Linked DNA regions of Rattus norvegicus. The protein of the gene in region 3 purifies or fractionates together with the protein of the main gene of each other region. This does not show direct contact. Links are inferred from orthologs where the notes say so. Each region holds a gene or a part of one and is shown on either strand. Other genes may lie near its edges. The genes, in order: Cul4b, Cops6 and Dcaf4.

The links.
Region 1: the proteins of Dcaf4 (region 3) and Cul4b purify together in Homo sapiens (affinity purification with mass spectrometry; 9 studies listed by BioGRID and IntAct, counting the BioPlex papers as one, with this or other methods). This does not show direct contact. The link is inferred for Rattus norvegicus from reciprocal best matches to the Homo sapiens genes DCAF4 and CUL4B.
Region 2: the proteins of Dcaf4 (region 3) and Cops6 purify together in Homo sapiens (affinity purification with mass spectrometry; 4 studies listed by BioGRID and IntAct, counting the BioPlex papers as one, with this or other methods). This does not show direct contact. The link is inferred for Rattus norvegicus from reciprocal best matches to the Homo sapiens genes DCAF4 and COPS6.

What each region holds. Positions count from the first base shown.
Region 1 is NC_086039.1:122,171,660-122,175,307, forward strand, and holds part of Cul4b (cullin-4B), read right to left. Parts: intron 1,495-3,648; coding exon 1,391-1,494; intron 729-1,390; coding exon 659-728; intron 34-658; coding exon 1-33.
Region 2 is NC_086030.1:22,151,253-22,155,598, reverse strand, and holds Cops6 (COP9 signalosome complex subunit 6), read right to left. Parts: upstream 2,912-4,346; 5' UTR 2,910-2,911; coding exon 2,780-2,909; intron 2,573-2,779; coding exon 2,450-2,572; intron 2,252-2,449; coding exon 2,120-2,251; intron 1,917-2,119; coding exon 1,828-1,916; intron 1,737-1,827; coding exon 1,674-1,736; intron 1,310-1,673; coding exon 1,262-1,309; intron 951-1,261; coding exon 836-950; intron 753-835; coding exon 660-752; intron 571-659; coding exon 470-570; intron 349-469; coding exon 208-348; 3' UTR 72-207; downstream 1-71. UniProt on the Homo sapiens protein: Component of the COP9 signalosome complex (CSN), a complex involved in various cellular and developmental processes.
Region 3 is NC_086024.1:108,902,993-108,906,640, reverse strand, and holds part of Dcaf4 (DDB1- and CUL4-associated factor 4), read right to left. Parts: intron 3,619-3,648; coding exon 3,516-3,618; intron 2,115-3,515; coding exon 1,971-2,114; intron 468-1,970; coding exon 418-467; intron 1-417. UniProt on the Homo sapiens protein: May function as a substrate receptor for CUL4-DDB1 E3 ubiquitin-protein ligase complex.

The DNA.
Region 1 (3,648 bases), on a different chromosome or scaffold from region 3:
ATCCAGAAACAAAAAAATGCTCCTGATCATTATCTGTCAAATAAAAAGAAAAAAAAAATCAAGCAATTTTTGTAAATTTGAAACTACAATATTAGCTCTTAATGAGAATTTGGAAAATTTTATATTAAATAGGCTAATAGGATCCAACTTGCAAACAAATATATCTAGCTGAGAATATGTCCCATATATTTATTTTTAAACTAATCTATTAATCCTTCTTGTGGTTTCTAGAGAACACAGAATTAAGATGGTCCTCTGAGATCTTTGCTACTTAAATAACTAAAAAGAAAAACTGGAGGTAGGCATGGGACATATGCCTATAATCCCAGCAACTCAAGAGCCTAAGACAGAAAGATCTTGAAATTTCGGGCCAGTCTGTACTACACAATGAGATCTTGTCTCAGAAAAAAAAAAGAGGGAATCTAAGGTACACTTAGTCTTTCTTAGCAGCAGTGCTAGGGGGTAAAACTCTCTTAAACTTGTACCCATGGTGTTTAGGAGGTGGGAAGTGGGTTTCAAGATTTCTATTTGCATTAATATAAAGAATAAACACCAGACTTTCCCACCAGCTGTATCCCAATACGTCCAACAAGATATCCAAACATTCTAGCACCTAAATGTTTTTGCAATGAAATAATCAGTCTTGTTTCCAACTCACCATTTGCCTACAATGATTTTGCCAGCATCTATCAATCTTTTTTAGAAAAAGAACACTATCCAATGAATCCATGAGACAGATGTTAAGAATATTTTAAAATGTATCATATAAGTAATATGTGTAATATAAAACGTATTTGTCTTAAAATATAGACTACCCCATAAACTGATAATACAAATTATAAAACACAATTCTAATTTTTAAACTGCAGAAACAAATTTGATCCCCCTTAACGTATCTTTAAAACCAGTCTTAAACCTAACTGAGCATGTTTTTTATTTATGATTTCCCTCAAATAGAAATTTGTCAGGACAGAGGCTAATGACAGGAAATTTTTACTTAAAAACTGTAAGTATAGATCTTAACTATAATTGACACTGAAATGTTTTAAAACTTTGTTCTTTCCTTCAGAGATAAGAGGACAAAAATAAATCTTTCAGCACAGGCATTCCATTTCAAACTGAGCCAAGCAGTGAGAGGTAATGAGTAATGAAAAAACTTAAGATACTTTGTTTTGAGGGGCTCAAGAGATGGCTCAGCAGTTAAGAGTACTGGCTGTTCTTCCAGAGGTCCTTACATTTCTAACAACCACATGGCTGCTTCCATGTACAATAGAGTCTACTACCCTCTTCTCTCTGATGCCCTCTTCTGTCATACAGGCATACATGTTAAGTAGAACATACATAAAATACATACATAAATAAATGTGACATTTTGTTTTAAAAAGGATATTCTCTGAACTGATGAATCTGTGCTTTGATGTGATCTTCACAGATCTGCCTCAGCTGCTTATACAAATTGGCAGAAATCTTGTAAGAACAAAGATTTTCTACAGCCTGTAAGATAAAACAGGTAATTTTGTAGGACAGGAGAGAGTTGGGGTAGGGGTCTCAATTATCACATGAAGTCATGATTTTTTATACATTGTATCAGCTCATTGAAAATAAAGTATTTGTCAATTTTAAAAAGCAAAAGAATGGAATCAACCCAGAATGCCGAAGCGGGAGTATTAGGAGTTTTGTGCTAGCCTAGAAAACTTTACTTACACAGACACACTCAGGATTAAACAAGAAAATTGACCAATGTGGGTGAAAACCAAGATAAGTCCACATTTGTATGTTTATGAGGGCTATACTAAAAGTAAAGGCTGAAGAGAATCATGCAAAGTTTTGTACTACATACAAAAGCATTCTTGTTACAAATAATTTTCATAAGCAGAATGCATTAAATTTAAAAATAATTTTGCCTGTTTTGTATGTATGAGATGGGCCAGAAATGACTACTATAACTCAAGTAAAACTAATAGTTCCTTGGATATTCCTGAATACAATAAAGTGGAAATTATTGCTAGCAGTGTTTAAACCAGTGTGATATAATTAAACACTATGACATTTTCTCCAATTTTCAGTTTATAAATAATTGAAAATAGGGACTGCAAATTGGGCTTAGTGGTAGAATATTTGCCTAACCAGCTTGAATCCCCAGAATTCATACTCTTAACAACAGAATGAATATATTTTTACTTCATTAGAATACTTGAATTTATCCTCAAATCTTAACAAGTTCAGATTTTGTGTTTATTATGTGTATCAAAAGTCTTTCAAAGGGCTGGAGAGATGGCTCAGTGGTTAAGAGCACTCAGTGCTCTTCCAGAGGTCCTGAGTTCAATCCCCAGCCACCATATGGTGACTCAAAACCATCTGGAATGAGATCAGATGCCCTCTTCTGGTGTATCTGAAGACAGCTACAGTGTACTCATATATAATAAATAAATAAACCTTTTAACAAAAAAGTCAAGTTTAAAACAACAGGTGTGGTCACTCTAATGTTAACCACAATTGGTAATGGCTTAAGTGTAACACCAAGATTCCTCTCATGCCACAATGGAAGACAAAAACCCCATTCCATTAAAAAGGACTGGGGAAGTCCAAACTCTGTTGGTCTGAGTGGAATTTTGTAAACAGTGTAGCTAGAAGTCACATTGCTAGAATGCAAGTTCAGTGATCCCATTTTTTTTTAAAAATAAAGCTTAAAAAGGAACTTCCTTATTCCACTGGAGGAAAACCATCAATCCTCAACAGGAGAGAATAGACCCATCAGCTTTAACAGCTATGAACAAATAGGAAAAAGACAGATTCAGTTACAATCCATGTAACCTGGGGTTAGGAAACAAATATCTAAGAGTGAACTTGTTTATTTCATGTGCTCCTCTATTCATACTGATCCTAGATGGGGTGTCCTCCTCCCTTTATGGCACTTTTTACTGTATCTTGTTTTTTGAATGGCTGACTCATTTTCTCAAGCATTTCTCATTTCCTACTTACGTTGTCAATGACATAATACACACTTCATTTTTTACTTTCCCTATTTTTTATTCTTCAATACATTCTATTTATCCTACTTCCTTCTGAGTTCTCCTTTATCTCATAAAACAGTTCTTGACACATCTATTATCTTTTCCCACAAGATACACATTTTCTATTTCTATTAAACTGGGTACCACTTCTTCCAAATAAGGTAACTCCTTTCACTGTCACAGATTTGCCTAATGCTCCCACCACCCACCACACCTCAGTAAATCAATACTCTTGCTTTTTATATGTATATCCTGTCTCCTTGATTTTGCTTAATGGCAGTGATCACACAGTCCTAAGCTATTTTTTAACACTTTGACTTTTACAGTATATGTATGTCAATAATGAATTATACCCTGCATACTAGAATGAAAACCATGATCAGAATACTATAGTGTAAGCTAAGTATGTTTATAGTCAAAGATAAAGCTCCCTATTACAGCCTTTAGGAGAAGGAAGTTAGGAAAAGTATCCAAGTCTACCAAAGACCCAGAGAGAAATATATAGAATACTAATGAGAATAATAAAAAACCAAAAACAAAGCTGAGCTTTACATTCAAAGTGACTAATGATTCATTCAACGAAAAGGAAATATGCAACAGAATAAGTTGGGTAAGTCAGGTGTGGTGGTCATGC
Region 2 (4,346 bases), on a different chromosome or scaffold from region 3:
CTGTCTACAAGGGTCCTGAGTCATTAAAAGATAAGTGGGTCCTGTCTGAAGAGTCCAGGTGAGAAACCATTGTGCCTGAGAGGACAAAGCCACTGGAAGGGCTGCTAAGGGGCTGTTCTTTATTAGTGAGTTTCTCTAAGGGGAAAGTGCTCAGTCCCGTGGCACAGTTGTCTGAGCCCCATACAGCATCCCTTCCAAGAGCCCTCATCAGAAAAACAGTCCCCGCATCCGCCTGCCGATGCCTTGTCGGTCATACAGGACGTTGAACTTGTTCACAAACTGGTTCATTGTGTTGCACGTTTTGGTGATGGTGCCGAGGTAGGCCATAAGCCCCACGTCATTGCATTGCTGGGAGGGAACAGAAAGAACCAGTTCCCCAGGGGTCCCTCATATTAGCCAATGACACTGAGTTTCACCTGCCTGAGGTGGTTGTGAGCCCCACCTCCCCATCAAGGGTATTAACACTCACATCATAAAAGTCTGTCTTGAACTTGTCAGTGCTGAGAACTGGAAGACAGTGGCATAGGGCATAGGCCTCCCGCAGGATCTCATGGTTGAAGGGAACCTCTCCTAAGGGCACAATGAGGCTGCACTGATGTGGATGTTGTCACTTCTCCAGGAGGGAGGAAAGATGGTTAAAGGTGAGGTACCTCTCCTACCTGCTTCAGAGGCCTTGACGTACTCTAAAATGAGCTTCACACGGCTGTGCAGCATCTTGATGGCGCTGTGCTGAGCTATGAGGTGTTCAGCCACTGCAGGGGGACAGGACAAATGAAAGGTAGCAAGTGGCCACACCCAACCCATACCTCCAAAGAACTGAATTCAACCCCCTTACCAGTGGAGTTCTCCCCACTGCCTGTAGCTGTCATCCGGGCCACATGGTCTACACCGATACGTTCAGCTTCCTCAGTGGCCAGAGTGTAAGTGAGTTCAGCAAACAGCATTGTGGCCTGCAGAGTAAAGGGTTCTCAGCAAGGAAACAGGGCTGGGCAGACGGCTCAGTGGGTAGAGCGCTTGCTGCACGAGACTAAGGATCAAGATGTGGCAGCATGTGTCTATAATCCCAGAACTTCTACAGCAAAATGGGAAGTGAAGACAAATCCCAGAAGCTCACAGGTCAACCAGCCTGGCAAACACGAGATTCTGTCTCCAGGTAGAAAGCTACGACAAACACCCAGGGTTGCCCCATGCCTGTGCACATGTGCACAGCATTTAGGAGACAGGCTAAAGCAGGATTTGAAGATTGCAGGGTAACTATTACCTCTCCATTGATTATATCGATGACAGACTCAAAAACGCTGACAGGCAGCTGTAAAAACAGACGGAGACAAGAGAACAGCTCTTACTAGAAGCAAATGCACTTGAACTTGCCAGGCTGGTTTTGAACTCACAATTCTCTTGCCTCAATCTCCTGAGTGCTAAAATTGATTACAAGTGTTGTTGCCACACTTAGCTCACAATTTTCTCTCTACTGGAGTAAGTTTTACCCACATTACATATGGCGACACCACTGAAGAGATGAAGTTACACAACTGATGGGCGTAAGTAAACAGCAGCGTGGAGATTCAACTCAAGCGTTCTCTAATACACATGATGTCACAGAGTAAATCAGAGCAGAGGCATATAGGGGCAGATGATCAAGACAAAGGGGTCATAGGGTCAACAATACTCACATCTGTGTGCTTGGTCATAGGGTTCAACTTCAGAAAGAGAGGACTCTCAATTATCTCGCAAACCTAGAAGACAAAGCCCAAAAAAAGTCAGTATCTCTTCTTCCCATAACCTTCTGTTCTCTTCCCCAACATGCACACATGTGAGCTTTTATACCTGCTTATGGACGTGGATGTCTGAGGGGTCAGGTGGCCCCCCTGTGGTATACCAACCCAAAAACTCCAGCTCCTTGAAAACCTGTTTAACTGGAGAAGAAGGGGCCAGAGTAAATATTTCTTTAAACCTCTCTTCCTGAGTTTGATGGACCTGGTGTGTTTCCTTACCGGCTTTTCCCTTCCTCCCTCCCTCAAATTTTGGGTCAGTTTAGCATAACTATACCTTTCTATTCTAAATACAAAACAAAAATCTCCCCACTTCTCCTTCCCGCCCACTTCTATTCCCTTCTCACACTGCTCCTCCTTGGTGTAATAATATTCTTTGTCAATGATAATCTTCTTTTCCACGGTGTGAGACAGCAGCTCAAAGGAGTTCATCACTTCGATATTTCGCCCCTCCTGCTTCCCGATCAGAGCCCCAATCACTAAGGAGAGAGAAGCAGAAGTGCAAGGAAAATAGGTGAGGTTCAAGCATCGAAAACCTTTCCCGAGACTCTGAAGTCAGTGTGTATTAATGACTGGGGAAACAGTAATTTGGAAAAGGGGGCGGGGGGAGGGACTGGAGGAGATCTCCAAGAGGAGATCTCCAAGAGGAAATTTTGAGATTTACACACAACACTCACCCTGCATAGGCCGCCCCTCCTGGGAGCGCATGCGGATCCAATGGTCTGAGATGTTGAGGATGACAAGGGGATGAAGAGCGACGGAAACACTCCCAGTCACTCCGGAGGCCATCACGCTGGGGACTGTTAAAAGTGAAAGAAAAACATAGCGGGTGAGAGTTCGGGCCCACACATTCTCCCCTAGACATGGGAGCAGAGGACCGGTAGAGCCGGGCCGTTCATCCCTGCCCTCAAGTTATCCTGGGAGAGATGTCGCTTCTCCCGGGCTTAAGAAGTACTCAAGACACTCCGCAAGGGCGACTCCAGAAGTCGTTCCCTGCACCCCGTTACCTGCTGCATCCACCTCCATGCCGCTGCTGCCTCCGCTCCCGTTCGCCGCCGCCGCCGCCGCCGCCGCAGCCGCCGCCGCCGCCGCCGCCATTTTCCCCGCGCCCGCCAGCCACGGCCCGCCCCTTTCCATCTCGGCTTCCGTCGGCGAGCGGCGCATGCTCAGTGTGTACTCTGTGTTGCTAATGGGCGGGGCGTCTGCCAGTACTTGGTAGCCCATGGTTCTCAGTGTGTTGTGTTGTGTTGTGTTGTGTTGTGTTGTGTTGTGTTGTGTTGTGTTGTGTTGTGTTGTGTTGTGTTGTGTTGTGTTGTGTTGTGTTGTGTTGTGTTGCTGCTACCGGTTCTCATGAAAACCGGCCTGGCCATGAGTTCTGTATTGTGTATCTAAGAATGACTTTGAACTTTTGGTCTCTTGCCTTTACCTCCCAAGTAGGGCTGTTAGTTTCCAGGTCTCAAAGGGGATACTTTGTCAATACTAGACGCAGAGAAAATTGCGATCAAAAAGAGGAAACGCTGTAATTTATTAAGGATATAACATTTTTCACGTTGCATATAATCTATAGTGACATGGTCACTTGTTTGTTGAACTGCGGTCTAACCGTGTTGCCCAGCTGGCTGGGAACTTGCTATTCATCTAGGCTGAGTTCAAACTCAAAGAGATCTACCTGCCTCTACTTCCTGAGTGCTGAGATTCAAGGTGTGCAGCGTGCCCAGCCTGCCTTGTTTTTAAAACGGTGAGCAGGGGGGCTGGAGAGATGGCTCAGTGGTTGAGAGCACTGACTGCTCTTCCAGAGGTCCTGAGTTCAATTCCCAGCAACCACATGGTGGCTTACAACCATCTGTAATGAGATCTGATGCCCTCTTCTGGTGGGTCTGAAGGCAGCAACAGTGTACTCATATAAAACAAATAAATAAAAATATTGAAACGGTGAACTGAGGATCTAAAGTCGGTTCCTAACACTTACAAAGCAAGCACTTTATCCCCCGAGCCGTCTCCCCAGTGGATTACTCCAACTGTTCAGCTGCTTCTTCAGTTGCAAGGCAACTTGATTCTACACAACCTAGTGACTGCTACTGGGAAGGCTTGTGGCCCATGCCTTTAATCCTCGCACTTAGCGAGGCAGAGACAGGCAGATTTCTTGAGTTCAAGGCCAGCCTGGCCAACAAAGTGAATTCCATCACAGCCAAGGTTACACAAACTCTCACAATATAGGGGTTGGGGGAGAGTTGCCTTGGTCATGGTGTCTCTTTACTGCAATAGAACAGTGATTAAGACAAGTATGTTTCCCACTTGGATCAATAACTGAGGCTAAGCAACCTCCTTTAATAGTCAAGAAAAAGGGACTGGAGAGATGGCTCAGCAGTTAAGAGCACTGACTGCTCTTCCAGAGGTCCTGAGTTCAAATCCCAGCAACCACATGGTGGCTCACAACCATCTATAATGAGATCTGATGCCCTCTTCTGGTGTGTCTGAAGACAGATATGGTGTACTTGTAATATGTAATAGATAAATCTTTAAAAAAAAAAAAAAGTCAAGAAAGAGCATTTGGCCCACAGTCATTCATTTGGG
Region 3 (3,648 bases):
CTAACTGCAGCTTCCTCCCTCCACTTCACAGTGGGTACCTTCTTAGGGATGTGCTAATCCTTTCTACTTTATTCCCTTGCCAAAACAAACCCCATGGCAGGGATGCTGGGTCTGCCTGGTGACCCATGAGCGTATATCAGCAGTAGAACAGGTGGACCCTGGGGCCAGACTTCTAGGGCCCAACGCTATCCCTAGCCACTACACTTTAAGTCCCAGATGTCTGGCACATAGGAACTTGACCATCATCCTAGAAACAGCCACCTCTGTACCTCGGTTCCTTATGGAGACTCCCTGTTGTGGACCCAGGTGTGGTCTTTCCCTAAAAGGTGAGACACCCCTCTCTGCCACCTCCACAGATGCTCAGGTCCAGACCAGGGCATGGCTGTCTACTAAACCCTTTTGTCTGCGGAAGGATACAGAATGTGGGAGTCCAAGTGATTGAGTGAGGCCCAGCACACAGAGTTCACCTGCGGGGAGCGGGAGAGAGAGACTAGGGTGACTGCTGACCACAGAGAACAGCGGCAAAATGCTTTCCTAGAAGACGGCTGGAAGGGACCGCAGAGATGGCTCAGCACGCGCTGCTTTTACGGAGGACCAGAGTTTGGGTCCCAGCTCCGTGAACACTAACTCCCTCTTCTGGACACACAGATACATGTGCCCAGGTATGCACACACACATACACGTCCCTTAAAATTGAAGAGGAAAAAAAGGAAGGAAGAAGGAGAAAAGGGAGAGAGAAAGAGAGAAAGGACAGACTTGTAGAGGCACAAACTCACGACGCCTCCACTCCCTGCAATGCTGAGACCAAACGCAAAGCTCTGAACATGCTAGGCAAACACTCTACCACTAAATCACCCTTAATCTGACATGTGATTTCCTTCTTCAGGTTTTGCTCTTAAAATGGGCTGCAAGGAGCATCCTGAGGATGGTGGAGCTCCCTGTGCAGATCTCTTAGGTCTTGAGGGGAACGGGAAGGAGTAAACTCCAGGCTTCAGTTCTTGCAAATCAGCATGGGTCCCAAGCTAAGGTATCTGTCAACAGCCCCCTCCCCCAAGCTAGACCTGTATTCTCTTATTTTTTTTTTAAAGATTTATTTATTTATTATATCAAAGTATGCTGTAGCTGTCTTCAGACACACCAGAAGAGGGCATCAGATCCAGATCTCATTATGATGGTTGTGAGCCACCATGTGGTTGCTGGGAATTGAACTCAGGCCCTCTGGAAGAGCAGTCAGTGCCTTTAACCACTGAGCTATCTCTCCAGCCCTTTGGTTGTTTTTTCAAGACTTATTTATTTGTATCCTCTATTTTTACAGGACCAGGAAACAAACCTAACTTTTAACCAAAGGTTAACCCTTTAGGGTTTTCTTTCTTTCCTTCCTTTCTCCGCCTCCTCTGAGACAGAAAAAGGTACAGCTAGGCTCACCTTGTAGCACAGGCTAGCCTTCGGCCAACAGCGACCCTCCAGTCTCAGCCTTCTGTGTGCTGAGTGAGATCACAGCTACCACACTGGGCTCCTCAAGCCATTTTTACCAGTGTCTCGCTCGTGGCTTATGTCTTAGTGAACAGGAAGTCACTGCCTTAGATGCAACATAAAGGCTATGAGATGGAGTACCTGACATTTTGGGATGCCCAGCGAAGGAACCTATCTAGGCTGTGATGGCTGTATTCCAGGAACCACACCCCTCCAGATCAGTTCTGATCCTTCAGAAAAGAATCTCGAATGGCCACTGAAAGCACCCTGCCTTGAGCTCACCCCAACCACCTAAACTTCTCTTCAGATGTTACGGCTCTCTGGGACTTGCTCATCCCGTGGCCTCTCAGGAATTAGCAAACCATCTGTCCCTTGGAAAATGAGATGGATCCTTCAGTCTTCACCAGGCCGTTTTCCCTTTCCCTCTCTGAATTCAGCCAACTACAGCAGTGGCCTAGGTCCAAAGGCAAGAGCTAGAAGGTGGAGACAGGACCTACCTTCCTGTTGGTAAAGTACAGGTTCTCGTGCATGTGCACCTCGAACGTGGGGGCCTTCAGACCCTGCAGGCTGATGATGCCGTACTTGGAGCCTCCGATTTTGACGTCATTCACCGTGAAGAGGCGGTCACTGGTAGTGTCTGCCTGGAGGGAAACAGGCTGCAGGTGATCTCTCATGTGGGCTGCCTAAGCTCCTCTCCATGAAGGAGTAAGGCAGGGACCCACCTTAGCTCCCACTCGGTGACTACACTCCAGCAAAGTGATCTCCCAGAGTCTGCCCTGCCATCTCTGAGGCACTGAAAAGATGGCAAAATGAGGGCCTGACCAGGAAGTCTGGTGACCTTAGTGACCACCTCAGAAACAAGTCTGGGAGGACCATACCATGTGGCCACCATAAAACCCACAAAGAGCTCTGAGTCCTAGACAGCTACATAGTGAGACCCTGCCTCATTTAATTTAAATATACAACAAAGGACCGACCTGTAATCCCAACACTCAGGAAGCTAATTATGGCAGGGGAACTGAGTGTGAGCCAGGCTGAAGTAGAGTTTCCTTGTCTTAAAAAGCCCCGTTAAGTTTCCTCTGATAAAAGTCTAAACAGACACACACACTGGTGAAATTCCTCCTACAGTCTTGAAGAGTTATGTGCCTGGATGTACCCACCAATGATGGGAATCAAGTGGGTCAAAACACCTTCCCAGTCCTCTGGCTGGCTCTGGGTACTACCCAGCTGGTCACATGGGATGCTGGGTCACAGGACGGCTGCTCTACCACAGGCACATTGCTAGGGAAGGAGCTCGAGGGGACCCATGGCAGCAAAGTGCCTGCTGTCCCGTCACCAGGCCCTCAGGAGGGCTGAGCAGCAGAGACTGGGGCCTGACCCCAATACTTCTTTCTGCTGTCGGGGCTCCTGGACCAGGAGGCCTCAACATGGGCCTCAAGGGTCACTCTACTTTAGCCTCCCATCTTCCCAACCGATCACTGCCTCCATGGTCTCATCTCAGCCTCAAGGCTTTCCCTTGGCCTCCAGGAAGGATGACAAGCGCTCAGGGGGCCCATGGAAGAGGGAGGGCATGCTCTGGCTCCTTAACAATGCATACCTGACCCTAGACTCTGGTAGTTGGACTTGATTTCCACTCCAGGTCTCAGTGAATACAGAGACTTTCCACTTCCAATAAATAGTGTGATGGAGGTACGAACGGCCCTGCCACTGAAGTCAGGGACATTGAGCGAAGGAACCCACCATGCTGCAGCTGATGGCACCTGGATCCTGCCCACACTGTGCACAGCCGGAGAGAATACACTGTTTGTCGTATGTGGCCAGACCCAGGTTTATTTCACAGGATGGGACTGAAGGGTGAGTGATGGACATACACATACACACACACCCACACATACCCCTTAAAAACAACAACAAAACCCCACCAAACCAAAAGACATCTTTTTTTTCCCCCACGTAATCAGCATCTTGTTAGCCAGGCTTAGTGAACACAACACCAAGCCAGAAATGGCAGCCACAGACACCGACAGACACCTCTCACTCACCAGGATGAAGTTAAAGCGGTCACTCGCCAGAGCTGAAGGGTCTGAGCTCTGAATCTCTACCTTTTTCCTCTCCATGCAGGCCACCCGAAGCTCGTGGGAGAGACTGGACAGGGAGACAGAAACGGGAGGGCAT